Lepisosteus oculatus: one gene and its partner. The protein of the gene in region 1 purifies or fractionates together with the protein of each later gene. This does not show direct contact. Links are inferred from orthologs where the notes say so. Each region holds a gene or a part of one and is shown on either strand. Other genes may lie near its edges. The genes, in order: bccip and eif6.

What was found.
Region 2: the proteins of bccip (region 1) and eif6 purify together in Homo sapiens (affinity purification with mass spectrometry; 3 studies listed by BioGRID and IntAct, counting the BioPlex papers as one, with this or other methods). This does not show direct contact. The link is inferred for Lepisosteus oculatus from reciprocal best matches to the Homo sapiens genes BCCIP and EIF6.

What each region holds. Positions count from the first base shown.
Region 1 is NC_090699.1:26,808,703-26,816,263, reverse strand, and holds the start of bccip (protein BCCIP homolog), read left to right. Parts: upstream 1-4,382; coding exon 4,383-4,514; intron 4,515-4,533; coding exon of another isoform or gene 4,534-4,607; intron 4,608-4,785; coding exon 4,786-4,860; intron 4,861-6,128; coding exon 6,129-6,209; intron 6,210-7,277; coding exon 7,278-7,367; intron 7,368-7,552; coding exon 7,553-7,561. Other genes in the region: uros (uroporphyrinogen-III synthase), read right to left, coding at 1,512-1,608, 2,037-2,120, 2,353-2,440, 4,534-4,607. UniProt on the Homo sapiens protein: During interphase, required for microtubule organizing and anchoring activities. During mitosis, required for the organization and stabilization of the spindle pole.
Region 2 is NC_090711.1:65,040-72,536, reverse strand, and holds the start of eif6 (eukaryotic translation initiation factor 6), read left to right. Parts: upstream 1-4,369; 5' UTR 4,370-4,473; intron 4,474-4,891; 5' UTR 4,892-4,925; coding exon 4,926-5,032; intron 5,033-5,932; coding exon 5,933-6,018; intron 6,019-7,486; coding exon 7,487-7,497. UniProt on the Homo sapiens protein: Binds to the 60S ribosomal subunit and prevents its association with the 40S ribosomal subunit to form the 80S initiation complex in the cytoplasm. Behaves as a stimulatory translation initiation factor downstream insulin/growth factors.

The DNA of each region.
Region 1 (7,561 bases):
GGCCAGGTGTTAGAATTTAAGAATTCTCTCAAACTACAATAATACACAGATAATAATAGATCACTGTCAGGGATGCGGCAACCATTTGTTCAGTGAAGGTTATAATTAAACACAGGCTTCTGGTCTTGTTTTATTTCCATTTGTGTATTGTGGCTAACAAGCATATGAAGGACTGGAAAATAATAATTAGATATCATGGGGGTTCGTTGAAAAAATGCATCTTCTATTATTTCAGATAAGCCATCACATTATTAAAAGATTCTAAAGTAACATATTTCAACACCTATTAAATGTCAAAACACTCACTAGGAAACCAATTTTCATGGCTTGCACGCTGTCACATGACAGAAAATTAAACCCAGGGAGTAATATATTAAAAGAGTACTGGAGTGTCTCTTGTGAACAAAAATGTGGTTTCTTACAAAATATTTAAAATGAAAAACACCAGCATTACACCTTTTTTACTATTTTGTATCATTATTTTACCACTTAATTTAAATCATTTGCATTTTTAAATTCCTATCCATCTCATATCGTTGATTCAGTTTTCAATAAAAAGGCTAGCTAGATTAATTTAGTTGTATTGCATAAACACATTTGTAATTTTTGTCAACTGTCTTATCGTCCAGTATAATCCTGTCACATGTTAAAATAAGAGGCTCTGTACCTGCAACGAAAACATCTTTCTAGCTGCAGGCTGTCCTGCAACTGTGAAATGCAAAGCTGTTGTTAAGAGGAAACCTTTTTTTGTCTTCATGTTTGAGCAGTGTCGACACTGCATTGCAAATAAGGCTCACCTTCCAGTGATGCCAGTGCTTTCTCTAGTGAAGAGGGGAGAAAAGCATTTCTGACCAAACTGATAAAATGAAACTACAATACAAAAGGCTTCTTCTTCAATGGGAGCTGTTTTATTGAGCTGGGTGCAGTGGTGACTTATGTATTAGGGTGAATGAGTCCACCTTTCTGACAAGTTGGATGAAAAGAGATAATCCAAACTAAGCTTTCACAGAGAAAGTGGTTTGTAAATATTTGACCACTATATCGTAAACCTCTGAAAACATCTCTGATGTGTCCACCTGTCAGGCTTCATTGTTCCAGATCGCTGCTTTGTGTATACTCCAGCTGTGTAAAGCAACAGGACAACAGCTCTTAACTTCCCTTTGTGGAATTGTCTGTACTGGCCATGACAACAGAGGTGTAGGGAGGAATATGGCAAATGCTGACATCTATGGGACATTTACAGCCCCTGCAACGCTTCGCTTCAGAGAGCTGGAATATGAAGATCTCCAGATGAAAACATCCAATACAACTGTGCCAGTCTATCTTTGCAAGTGAAAAACTGGCCATGTTACTGCTTGGCAGAAAGTAAAGACAGTGAAGTAACATTTACAAGCCAACCAAACTCCATAGTCTCCTTTAGTCAACCAACAAGAGGTATAAAACAATTCACAATCGCCACCATGCTATCTTTATCATGTTCTCCATTTTAACATTATGACATATTCACTTACCATCTCTTCTACCCTTGTCCTCAAGGCACTTTCTCACAGCCTCCACAGCCCTCGGGCTAGTGAAGACAAGTCCGCCGTACTTCTCAGGGTGAAACAGCTAATAAAAAAAATGTTTTATCAGACTTGAATATACTAGTAAATAAATTAATTGTAACATGCAGCCCATCTGTATTCATGGAAAGGATTTTAACCTGTCAGTAACTATGTGAGACTCCAGCGAAATTGTGATAGTCATTGTATGTGATCTGCAAAGCACATGCTGACACAAGAAGGTTTTCTTTCTAAAGGAATGGAAGATTAGATCTAAGAAATGTGAAAAATGTGTAATGTTGGAATTGTAAGGTATCATAAGACAAAATAACAGTATCCATTTTCTCTTCATTTGATCGTGATTCATTATGAACTCCGGAGTGTCTTAGAATAGCTTTTGCATTCAGGCTTTGATCTGAATGACTGTCATTTAAAAAAAAACAGCCTGTAACAGTACGATCATGTCAGGGGAATGACACAAAGATTATCCCTCACCTTTTCTGACAAAGTGTTCAGTGACACAAATTCAAAAGACAAAACAGGTATCAAAGTAGCCTTAATTCCACAGGATGCCAGCTCCTACAAAAGAATGAAAAGTGCACTGCAATTAGGAAGAACTTGGTAGATGACATGTGGAATAATGAGAGATAATTAGGCAAAATAGAAGACTTTTAAAGATCACAAAACAGAGCGTGCTCGGCCACAGTTAGTACTACATTTTTCTGATTAATCTATCTTGGCTATTATTTCCTATTAACTTAGACAAGTATTACACAAAAGTCTTCTCTTCTTTGTTTTTCAGTATACAAACCTTTACATAAGGGTCAGAACTGGAATCGGCTTCTTTGGATTCTTTTAACAGGAGCACATTCATCTTCAATGCAAAGACAAACCACTGTCTAAAAAAAACAATTAGCAAAGCTGTAATGAACAGACAATAAGAATATTATATAATACAAACGAAATGACTATGTCCCACTTCCCTCATGGTCAGAAAACTGATTATCAATCGCCATTCAGCACAGAGGCGGTTTTCAAAGGCATGAGTAAGCACAGTGCACACCCACTAACTGACAAGCGTTGTTCTTCTGATAGCGTAACTCAAAATTCCCACTGCTCTACTTTTGCCATGTATATCCAAAATGTATGCAATGTATACAAACATTAATTTAATAATAACAGCACCCAAGAATTTAGTGCTTTGAAAAACGGTTGTGGAGTATAGTTCAGTAAGTTTAGTAATAAGCACAGTAAGCTAGGCTTGACTTGTTTAGCTGAGGGCAAAACTCCTGACCATAGCAGGAGGAAGCTGGGACCTCCATGCAGAGCCAGAAGTGACCAAGGTGTAACTGCAAAAATCAAGGAGATATGCAAAAGACAGATTGGGAGGAGATTAGGTACTTTTGTTTAGTATTCATATTTGTTTGTAATTCATCAAATGATACCAGGAATGATTATGATTTAGGACAGTTTAGGTCAGTTGAACTGTGCTGTTGTTAACCCAACTGAACCTCCGTTTAGTTTCTCTTTTTTTACAATACTAAACAGACATTTGTTCAGATCAAATCTATGGTGTGCGCAGTGGCAAAGCCATGATTCAGGCAACGGGCGGGTGTGTTTGGAAGAGAAACACCTATTTCACAACGGATGATACCACAACAGCTGGTCAGCTGCCATTCTTAAATGACACACCTTCCTCATATTTGCCCCCTCTAACTCTTGGGTAATCCCTGTATTCTTCCCACAAATAAACCCTGAAACTCTCAGTACGACGGCTACTAATCTGACTAGGTGTTCAGCTGTCTGGAACACATTAGCTTCGTTGCGGGGTTTTCATATTGTCCTTATAATACTCCAGCCCGTCACCTCTGACCTCCACAGTGTTAGGCAGGAAATGAACAAACGCAACAATTTTAAGATCATAGGTTCTGTTAGTAGCAACGGAATGAGATGCGGATTTTACTCGGAACAAGCATAGTCATTTATTTTTAATTTTGTCACTGTAGCTTCTTCATTAACTCTATAAGCTTGTATGCATCAATTTATTTTATGAAAGCGTATAATTTGGCAAAAGACTGATCACGGACAATACAATCATTTATTTTTATACGTAGCCTTCACAGTAATTAAATACTTTGTTGAGCAGTATCCTACATTAAACGTTACACATCGCTGAACACCATTTCTGTCAAAGGTCGAATTGGGGACGCAAAACAGCAGATACAGGAAATCGTTACAACGTTTAATTTCATTGACCCCCCACATCTCTGCTCCTGAAACAAATGTTACTGACAACTCGCACGATGATTGTGTATACGCAGTGGATAGATAACTGCCCCAAGAACAGAAATTATAAGACATACTTCAGCAGCACAGCCTGAACAGCTGTTCTTCCGACAACAAATTACGCTGAAGAACTCGGATGAAGAACGAGGGAAAAATCAAGAATCGTGAAGAACAGAGGTAGACAAAAATACATTAAAATAAAATCATTTTTAAAAATGCCATCACCATTCCCATAATAAATGTCATATACACTGTAAAATGTATCACATTATTTCTAAGTATGTTATCTTCACTTATATGTTATATAAATAAGACTCCCCTCGAATTCTTTAAGTGCTTTGCACCAAAACCCTCCCCTTCCTCCTTCGGTGCTTCCCTTATGAAATCGAGTGGAGGTTGAACACATTTCCATGGCGTCTACCACGTTGAACATTTCATGCGAGAGACAGTTTGAGCCAAAATGGCGTCCATAATTCTACAGCTTCCCACACCACTTAACCGTAAGAATTGCGTGTGCAGGTCCCCTCCTTTTCCTCTTCTGTGTGTTTTGGCAGCATGGCCTCTTCTGCGAAAAGGCGAGCCGTAGGAATGGGGGTCAACCCGGAGGAGAATGAGGAGGAGAGCTCGGAGGAAGAGGCATCCGAGGGAGAGGAGGACAGCGAAGACTCCGATGAGGAGATACACGAGGTAAAATATATATACATACGGTACTGTATATGATTTTAAGGTTGTAGGAGCCTCCCGCGGTTTACGGCCAGATCGCATTCTCAAGTATCTCATGATTTATTATAATTACCTACAGTATCTAGACAGCAACAACTTTGACGTGTTAGGCAAAACAATGAACTGTTTCAGAATATATTTACAAACATTACAGATAGGGGAAGACTATAAAAATGTGGTATCCACGTGGTTAGCAATTCCCCGTTGACCTGCCGTGTTTTGTTTTACTTGATAGGAGGTGAAGGTGGACTTTGAGGCACATGCGATCTCCGAGAACGATTTTAACGGGATAAAGAAATTGTTGCAACAGGTAAATATATATTATGCTTTAACGTCGTTAAAATGACAGTTGCTACACCAAAAACAACTAGCAATGTACAGAACCATGTTTACAGTTTTTAAAAGCTAAATAACTACTATCATGTTTCCATACCACATTTCATGAGACATCATGTATAGTCGACTATACTATAGTATATAGTCAAATATATAATATATTATAAAGTAACAGAAAACGCCCTCTGCTGCTGGTGTCCATTGGAAATGACATTCTTGTGTGCACACCTTGAACATTTGATGAAACGGTAATCAGTTCAGCGATGTATTATTTTCATATGGAGGATATTAGTTAAAACCACAAGCACTGATGGTTAGCAACAACGGTGAGAATGATAAATTGCAGAGATATGTGAAATGTATTCAAGTAATACATTTGCAGTTAGTTGAACATAGGAATTAGCGGTTAGCAAAATTAATGTTGTTTTAATGTTGGTGGTAACTGTTTTGAGAATAGTTCAGGTGGGTAGCTGCGTCAGCATGCGTAGGCTGCAAAGGAACAAGTAATAGGTTTATTCCATGCTGAAAAAAAGAAGAAAGAGAACACAACGTTTCGGCCGTGGAGCCTTCTTCAGGTGTCACAACGTTTCGGCCGTGGAGCCTTCTTCAGGTGTCACAACGTTTCGGCCGTGGAGCCTTCTTCAGGTGTCACAACATTCCGGCCGTGGAGCCTTCTTCAGGTGTCACAACGTTTCGGCCGTGGAGCCTTCTTCAGGTGTCACAACATTCCGGCCGTGGAGCCTTCTTCAGGTGTCACAACGTTTCGGCCGTGGAGCCTTCTTCAGGTGTCACAACATTCCGGCCGTGGAGCCTTCTTCAGGTGTGACACCTGAAGAAGGCTCCACGGCCGAAACGTTGTGTTCTCTTTCTTCTTTTTTTCAGCATGGAATAAACCTATTACTGTTTTGAGAATTTTGCTTTAATTGTCAGGATTTTTGCAGGTGCCAGTGAAACTTTTAAGAAGGCGATTTGGAGATGAAAAATGTCAACAGAGTGCGGAAATAACATTTAATTGCTTGTTCTTTGTATTTAAATATAAAAATATTATATATTTTAGCAAGATCTGATTTTAGAATTTGTGATGGTAGGTCCGTGTCATTGTTCTTTGAATATCTGCAAAGGAGGTGCAGGTATTCAAGTAATGTATTTTTATTCTAGCTGCATGTACGTCTCAGACATAGGTTGTTTATTATTAATTCATAATTAACAATAATTAAAGTATAAATGCTCTTGTCCTCACAGGTATTCTTGAAAGCCACTGTAAACATTTCAGAGCTGACAGATATCATCATCCAGCAGAATGAAATTGGAAGTGTCATTAGAGTAAGAATTTTAATACTCTCTTCAAATTTCAAGTTTTTGTTTGTCATGTTTATGCTTGTGTGTTTCCTCACGTTATTAATGACAGAACAAATAACATACAAATGACATCACAAATTGTTGGAGACAACAACATAAAGCAATAGCATGTGTGCCAACAAAATAGTGGAAAGTGGCATGTAAAATAGCAGTAGCAGCAGTATGCATAAACGTACATGTAGCAGCAATATACATGACATTATACAATAACAGCAATATACACATTGAAGGGTAGTAGCTGTTATTTTAAGCAGCATTCAAACAGCAGCAATATGCAAAAACCAGGTAGTGACAGTACTGTGAGTATTTCACACTGCTGTATGCTTTTTGATATTTCATTTAAAGTACATGCATATGTGTTTTCACCTTGTGATACTATTAGGAAATGCAAACTTGGCTTTCACCTTTATTCCGGTGATGTGGCACCAGCTGTCTCAAAATGCTAATCACCAAAATTTGTTCAATTTTAGATGACTTTTACTGGCACCTTTTTCACGGTGTTAAGAATTCTGGTGTTATTCTTGACAGTTTAGTTCATGCCTTGGGTTTGTGACTAGAACTATCTTGAACTAACTTGGAAAACACTGGTGAGATTGAAACGTGCCTAAACAAGAAGGAGGCAAAATGCTGCTTCACCATGTTCAGAGTGTCTCTACTGGCTGACTGAAAGTGCTTTTGTGTAATGGCTTGTGTTTGTTTACCTTTTATGCAGTGTTCTGGCATGTATTGCAATACATTTTATGTTGCTGTTTTGTTAAATGGCCTTGATAATTTTTTAAAACATTTCTAGGTGCATATATTGCACAGTGCAGACATGTGATACTTGATCTTTTAATCACTAGTTTCTGTGCCAGTCCAATTTTATGTAATTTAAATCTGTAATAAAACACTTTTTTACTAATGAGATCAATCTATTATTTCACATTATACAGTTTTGAAAAGCCGATCCACTTGAAACACTAGTGGATGGGATATTGGCGGTCTTGGTCTATTTAATAATAACTGTGATCACTGCTCTTCTCTTTTTTTCAGCAAGGTGAAGTACCCGAGGATAGTGATGATGACGATGATCCTGATGAAGTGTTTGGATTCATTAGTTTGTTAAACCTCACTGAAAGGAAGGTAAGCACTCCAGGCAGTTACTGGGGAAGTTGTTTGCCAGTATGTGATTGTACAAAAAAATTGCTAAAGCTTAACAGCCCCCTCTCTGGTGGTTTTCACAGCGAAACCAGCTAAATGAAATCTTCAGCCTAAAATGAAATCATCCCTTGTTGGTGCCTTCATGTTTGCTTTCGATTGGTGTGCAGGACACCCCG
Region 2 (7,497 bases), on another chromosome or scaffold:
AGCACAACCACTCCTTGGATCAAATAATTAATACCATTGTAAGAAAATTGTCATAAAGGTGCAAGCGCCTGTTGCTGAGAATTTCCAAAACCCTGTTTATGTTCTGCCAATACATGTGCTGAGCTGATGTTTATTATGAGGTATGGCACTGGTAATCCACTTCAAAACGCTAACAACCTCAACAAATCCAGCCCACATCAAAGCAGAACTCTGATGTTCCCCATTACAAAACTGTGAAAAATGTAAATAATTCATTAAATCTACTCACACTGGAAAATAGCTACTTTTTCTATTGCTGTTGCTTAAACATTTCTAATTTAACACTGCATTTTTCTCTTATTGCCTTTGCTACAAAAAAAAGTTTTACCTCATTTTATGTTGAGTTACAAGCTTTATAAGCAAACATTTTTCTTATGTTAATCATAAATGATTGGAGCAAGGTACTTTGTTTTATTCTTTAATAATTTCACACTGTGTATCAAAGAACAGCTCACCGTGTTGTATTTCAGATAAATTTGTCAATAAAAAAAGGAACCAACATGACAATCTGTTTTTGCTTTTGCACATACTGTATCAATATTCCTGTCCTATTCAATTACTGCCTTTTCAATTCAGTCTTAAATATATAAGTATGAAAACATCATTTTCTATTGCTACACATCTGTTGAAAATGGTGTTGGCTTACAAAATCATTAAGAACTGCAAATGAGAGAATGCCAGTTGGCTCATCCACCCCATTTTTAGTTTTAATTACACCACTGCCATGACCTTCAAAACCTTCTCCAGCTCCAGGCCTGACAGTGCCCACAGGAAAGTTAGCAATATAGAACTGCCGCTCCAACAACACAGGAAGCTCACAGGCACCCGGGAAGCCACCTGGTTTGCTGCTGTATGGCCAGTAATGGATACTCTAACTGAATGAAACACACGCAACCTAAGCAGTGCTTAGTCAACAGTATATCGCTGCTTTCAGGAATCCTAGTCGCTGACACCTAAACGCTTAAACGTTTTGAAAATATTTTTGGAAATTGCCAGCACCCCTTGTCATCCTGCAACCTACAACTGATATCTCACTGAAACTAAGCAGGTGCGAGTCTGGTCAGTAGCTGGATGAGAAACCTCCTGGGTAAAACTAAGGGTGCAGCTTGAAGGGGTCTTAGAAGGGCCAGTAGGGGGCCCTCACTCTGCAGCCTGTGGTGGTACTTATGCCCCAGTATAGTGATGGGGACACTGTACTGCAAAATGGCGCTGTCCTTTGGATGAGATGTAAAACCGAGGTCCTAACTCTCTGTAGTCATTAATAATCCCAGGGTGTCTCTCGAAAATAGAAGGGGTGTTACCCCGACATCCTGGCCAAATTTCCCCGTCCTTTACCAATCATGGCTACCTAATAATCCTCATCTCTGAACTGGCTTAATCAATCTAATCTCCACACTTCTATCTGATATGTTGTGAGTGTACTGGTGCACTTTGGCTGCCGTTGTTATCCAGGTGGATGCTGTACATTGGTGATGGTGGAGGAGAGTCCCCATTATCGGTAAAGCACTTTGAGTGGAGTGTCCAGGAAAGTGGTATGTATGGAATTGTTATTATATTAATAAATTATTATTATAAATCAGCATGATTCCACCAGCTGCACTGGCTGCTGTGCTATAAATATGGTTCTGACATCATCACAATGAGGGAATCCTGTTCATTAAATAAGTGTCAAGAATCAGACCACTGTCTTAAAGTTTGTCACAGTGACTTGAATTTTCAATACTTTTTTCAATTTGCAGTCACAAATACACATAGACACTCAGAACACACATTTAAGATAATCAATGGCTTTCTACTGTGGAAAAGATATTTTTCTGCAACAATTTGCTCTTTTATGGTGAACGGTGCACGTGTGACATTCTAACCTACAGACAAACAAAAAGTTAAATAGTTTTACTTTCGAAAACTGCATATTTAATAATTTTACAAAGATATGTCAGAACGGATCAACTCATCATAAAAACATATTCCTCAAAATTCAACTTCATAACGTCAAGGACTTCAGTCTGTGGTGTAGTGTCTAATACCAGTTGGTGCATGTGATCATAAAACACATGTCATCTACTTTCTTATTCCCTATTTGACACTGTGGTAGGTCTGCTTCTGGTCTCTGGGTGGTCTCTGATGGTGTTGGGCTTGAAGGTGGTCCTGTGAATACTTTTGAATCCTGGAGTGATGAACAGGCATCCTCTGAGACAGAAATCTTCTCTCTGCTCTGCCCTTCTCCCATTTTCTGAAAAACAACAGAAATATCGGTGTACAGAACAAGATTGCTGTCACCTATCTATAAGATAACCCTGACAGAGAGCTGTTTGAGAGCATCTGTTTACACAATAAAGCAGCTGATTTAGCTGAAGACTAAATGGGACTTGAGCACTTGTTTCAAGGCATTTACTGGTGAGTAAACACGAAATGCAGTCTAAACCTATGATGCAACATGTTATTAAGAAATACACTTTCTTGGGAGTATGGGATCACCAGTTTCTGTCGTGGCAAATCACTTCAAATGCAAATCATAAGATAAACTGACCTCTTTTGGACATCTAAGGGATGACAAGGGACACTAAACCAAAAGTGCAGTGCAGATGCAGTACAGTGATGCATCTCAAAATCTATCAAAGAAATTGCATTACATAGTTTCCCAGTTCCTTATAATTAACACATGAATTCTACATCTGAATTACATGTAGTTATATTCTTTGGTCCTGTTGACTTGTATTAACTAGACCCTATCATCTTTAAGCTTTGTTTAAACTAAATTAAATATGGTACCTTGTACAAATAGGTGGAAAATCTTTGATTTTCTTATTTAAATGACTAAATTTACAAAATGTGATTAATATTAACACCGTGATGCTTCAGTTTAATGTTTCATTTTAGAAAAGAAGACCAACTGGATCAACTGAGAAAATATTTATAAATATCTGCTTGGTAACAAGTTTCCTGATACTTGAGTTTGTAAGATCTTCAGTAAGTGCAGAAGAAGAAAAGTGAGTTTAATATATCTATCTCCTGCTAAATCAGATAATATATTAAACAGGAGTGCACTATTTTTAATCGGCTTTATCTGCTATTACGCCCTTTGCAACACTTTACAGATCACAATCAAGCTTTTAATACTGTTACAATACCATTTAACCTCGTGACGTTACTAACTGAAAACACTTTAAAACAAATAACAGACAGCGTACAAAACAGAGCTCATTACATTTAAAATACCTAATCATATTCAGTAAACAACACCTTAACAGGCTAACTGGTCAAAATAAATCTGGAACCTCCACCATTTCAAATGCTTACATAAAGCAGCAGATATGCAGGAGATCACGTAATTAACAAGAAGCCAGATTGTGCTTAATGACAAGTCTGTCTACGTCCTTTGCGGCCATTCGGCGACCCTGCCCGGCTGGTGAGCTCGCAGTTTCCAGGCAGAAGTCGCTGCAGCAGTGACGTCACACCGGGCTGCATCTCGCGCGGGGCACACGCCTGACCAGGCTCGCCGCGTGGTGGGGCACGTGCGCTTGGAGCTGCTGCGCAGATGACGTTGCGGACGAGGAGCAATATTGCTGTAAAATTGTGAATTCCTCTGGCTGTGAAGTGTCTATTTCTGTATCTACTTCATTCTTCTGTCTCCTTTTTTCTGTATTTCTGGTATTTAAATAAAAACTTATTTTAAAAAAGTAAAACAAATATTGCTGTAAAAAGCTCCACTATAATAATAATAATAATAATAATAATAATTGAATTCAAATAAGAAACGTGCTTTATCTGACACAGTATTCTCTTGTTTAATAAAGTATTTTTAGACGCCTCGCATCCTTTTGCTGTATACTAGTGTTAACAAATTAGCATCCTATCATAAAACCTCCAAGGTACATGCTGTGCTGTCTGAAGCTACTTGAGCAGAATTGTATATGTACAGTGCCTGCCAGTGGCTTTGGACAGGAAAGGAAGGAACTTACCATTTCCGAATAATGATATGGCTACCAGCTGAAAAGCTTGAATTGATACTACAGAAAGTCCGAGATTTCCACATAAAATTTCTTCAGATTTATATAATTAAAGTAAGATCCCAAAAAATTAATTGTAAAAAATAATGTAATTTAATGTAGCTTGCTCACTTTATGCTGTTTTGACTTAAAGTCAAATTGTGAATTACGAGTATATACGTTTAATATTTGATATTATGATATCTAGCATGGACCCGTACAGACTAACCTGGATGTAAACAGAGCACAAAAGGAAGTACTTCCTGTGAGGAAAATGGCGAGTGTGGAAAAGCTCTATCTGATACGAAGGAGCCCGTGACATCACAGCAATCCCAGAAGCAGAAGAAGACACGTGGGTGTGGGCCATGCCGTGTTTGAGTGCAGGAGGCCTGGTTGTACGGGTGTAGTGTAGGCAGCGATACAGAAACATTTAGAGCTTTCACAGGTACTGTGATTATTGTAAACGGTTTCATATCAGTCATTCAAATGACAATATTGTTTTAAATTACTAAATTTGTCCCTATGGAATTTATATTGTTTTGCTGTGAGAGAAAATCGAGTAAACAGCGAAGAGGAACATGAGTTTATATGTTTTTTGTGCTGTCATTATCTCTTAATGATTTACGTTTTTGATTTTGTAAACAGTTATATTTAGTTTCATTTACATTTCTAACCAATTCGAATATAGGGAACGCTGTAATGGTGAGATCCGTATTTTCTCATTTTTGTAAATGGTTCAGCTACTTCGATTTAAAAGTACAGCGGGCAAAGCTGCCGGTGAATTTCCGAAGGGAGTTCAGGTAAATTCTTTAAAAAAAAAAGTGAACTTGCATTTGCTTTAATGGAATTATGTGTCGTTCTAGTTTGCGGGCCGCTGGTGTGATCACCTCTATAGGCATGGCAGTCCGGGCGTCTTTTGAGAATAACAATGAAATAGGCTGTTTCGCCAAACTTACAAACAGATACTGTCTAGTAGCCATAGGGGGCTCGGAGAACTTTTACAGGTAAGTCAACATTTTTCTCTTAGTTTAAAAATGCACGTGTTGAGTTATCGTTATCTTCAGATATCATATTAGAGGTTTAGGTGTTCTACATCTGTATTCTGAATCACTGAAACTGCTGAATACGGTCTCTTCAGAACAAGTTTGTTTTCTGACGCTACACCCCTATTTTATAAAAATAATAATAATTGCTTAAACTTATATAGCGCTTTTCTGGACACTCCACTCAAAGCGCTTTACAGGTAATAGGGTCTCCCCTCCACCACCACCAGTGTGCAGCCCCACCTGGATGATGTGACGGCAGCCATAGTGCCCCAGAGCGCTCACCACACATCAGCTATCAGTGGGGAGGAGAGCAGAGTAATGAAGCCAGTTCATAGAGGGGGATTATTAGGAGGCCATGATTGGTAAAGGGCCAATGGGAAATTTGGCCAGGACGCTGGGGTTACACCCCTACTCTTTACGAGAGACGCCCTGGGATTTTTAATGACCACAGAGAGTCAGGACATCGGTTTTACGTCTCATCCGAAGGACGGCGCCTGTTTACAGTACAATGTCCCCGTCACTATACTGGGGCATTAGGACCCACACAGACCGCAGGGTGAGTGCCCCCTGCTGGCCCCACTAACACCTCTTCCAGCAGCAACCTTAGTTTTTCCCAGAAGGTCTCCTATCCAGGTACTGACCAGGCTCACACCTGCTGAGCTTCAGTGGGTTGCCTGTTGTGAGTTGCAGGATGATAACTATTTTGTAATTTTAAAGACAGAAAGTTTACAGTTTAGCAACTGTTCTGGAATTTAAATCCTGAAATGCTAATGACTTTTGAAATGTTAATGGATTACGTGGTAAAAGTTTTGATTGTGGATCAGAGTAATCTCTTTTAAATTGTTCTCATGGTTGCAGTGTCTTTGAAGGTGAGCTGTCAGAAACCATTCCTGTGGTGCATGCATCCATAGCTGGCTGTCGAATCATAGGAAGGATGTGTGTAGGTAAGTACCGCAGTGTCATGAATTTGACATCCATTATCCACTCTGCCTTCATCTGAAGAACAAAATATAGAGTGGAAAGATGTGTAATTTGCCAATAAACTAATCAAAGGGGTCTAGGACATAGTTGCAACAGAACTCCACTTGAAGTAAATTATGGCAGCTTGGCAACACAGCACTGCCTTGAATAGGTTCTTGGATCTCGCTTACGTCCCTTCCTGTGGGTTTTTCTTTTGTGTAAACATTTCAGCAGGACAAAATGTATCCTTGTGCTACTTATGTAACAGTGGGGTTCCTGATGGATAAGAAAGTGCTGGTTATAAAATTAGGGATTTTCTCACTAGACTTGAGCTTCATCGTTATTTACATTGAGAGTTATAGTGCATAGGGGATCAAAGGTTTCTTGTGTCAATCACTGTTGCACCTGGGAACATGGGTATCTCCCAGATGGGAGTAGTGTAAATTCAGTGGAGGGGATGTGCCACACACCCCTAAAAGAGGAACTGCAATGATATTTTTACATTTTGGAGTTATAAGGAATTGGCACTGATGATTTCAAACCATAATGAAAGAAAGTACACAGTAATATGTAAAAACCTTTAATTTCCATCACAAAATAGACAATTTGCAGGTATGCGTAGCACCATATTGCTCTCATTGCCTGCAACTCCAAACGAGGCAACAAATGTCTGGAAATGTGAAGCAGCTTTATTACATTGTAAACAAGCAGGCTTGTGAATGCATCTCTTTGATAGAAATATTGCTCCTAGTTGTAAAACCATATTTAATGCACATCTTAACTTAGGTTAAATCATGAGTTTTTCTAATTTCCTGTCAAGCACTGATGTCACCCTCTTGCTGCTTTTTCTTTTAATTGGTTGGTTTTGTCAGCAGAAATGATAGGAATGATACCTAGTTTGAGCACAAGTTATGGTTCATTATCTGAAATGAAAATATATTTAATATTATGAACTGTTAGACTTCATAATGATGTAAACTCCAAAGCAGAATACGTTTTTAGGTACTTGAACAAGACTGCTGATTTGAATAACTACACTTGAATTGAATTCAGTGCATCAACTTCAAGATGGTTTTACTGACAAATACTACTTGTAAACTGTGCATGCTGATCATGTTGGAACATTTCTGCAGTGAAAAGTCCACTGCACAACCTGTGCTTATGCACTCATACAGCACAGTAAATTAGTCATTATAGTGACTAGTGAGCAGGAAGGGCTGTTTCATGTTGCTATTCGTGCTAACTCGCTATTTGTGCTTAATTTGGAATTTGTAAAATTTTGTGAAATTGTCAATTAATTTATTCTGTTACAGAGATTTAATAACCAGTCTGAGAAATTGGAACTTTAATGCTCTTAGCCTTTCTCACTACCCTCTGTTTATAGAGGAACATTAATTGTGATATACAAGGTACCTTTAGGTTCTTACCCTTCTCTCTGCTGCTTACTATTAGGGAATCGTCAT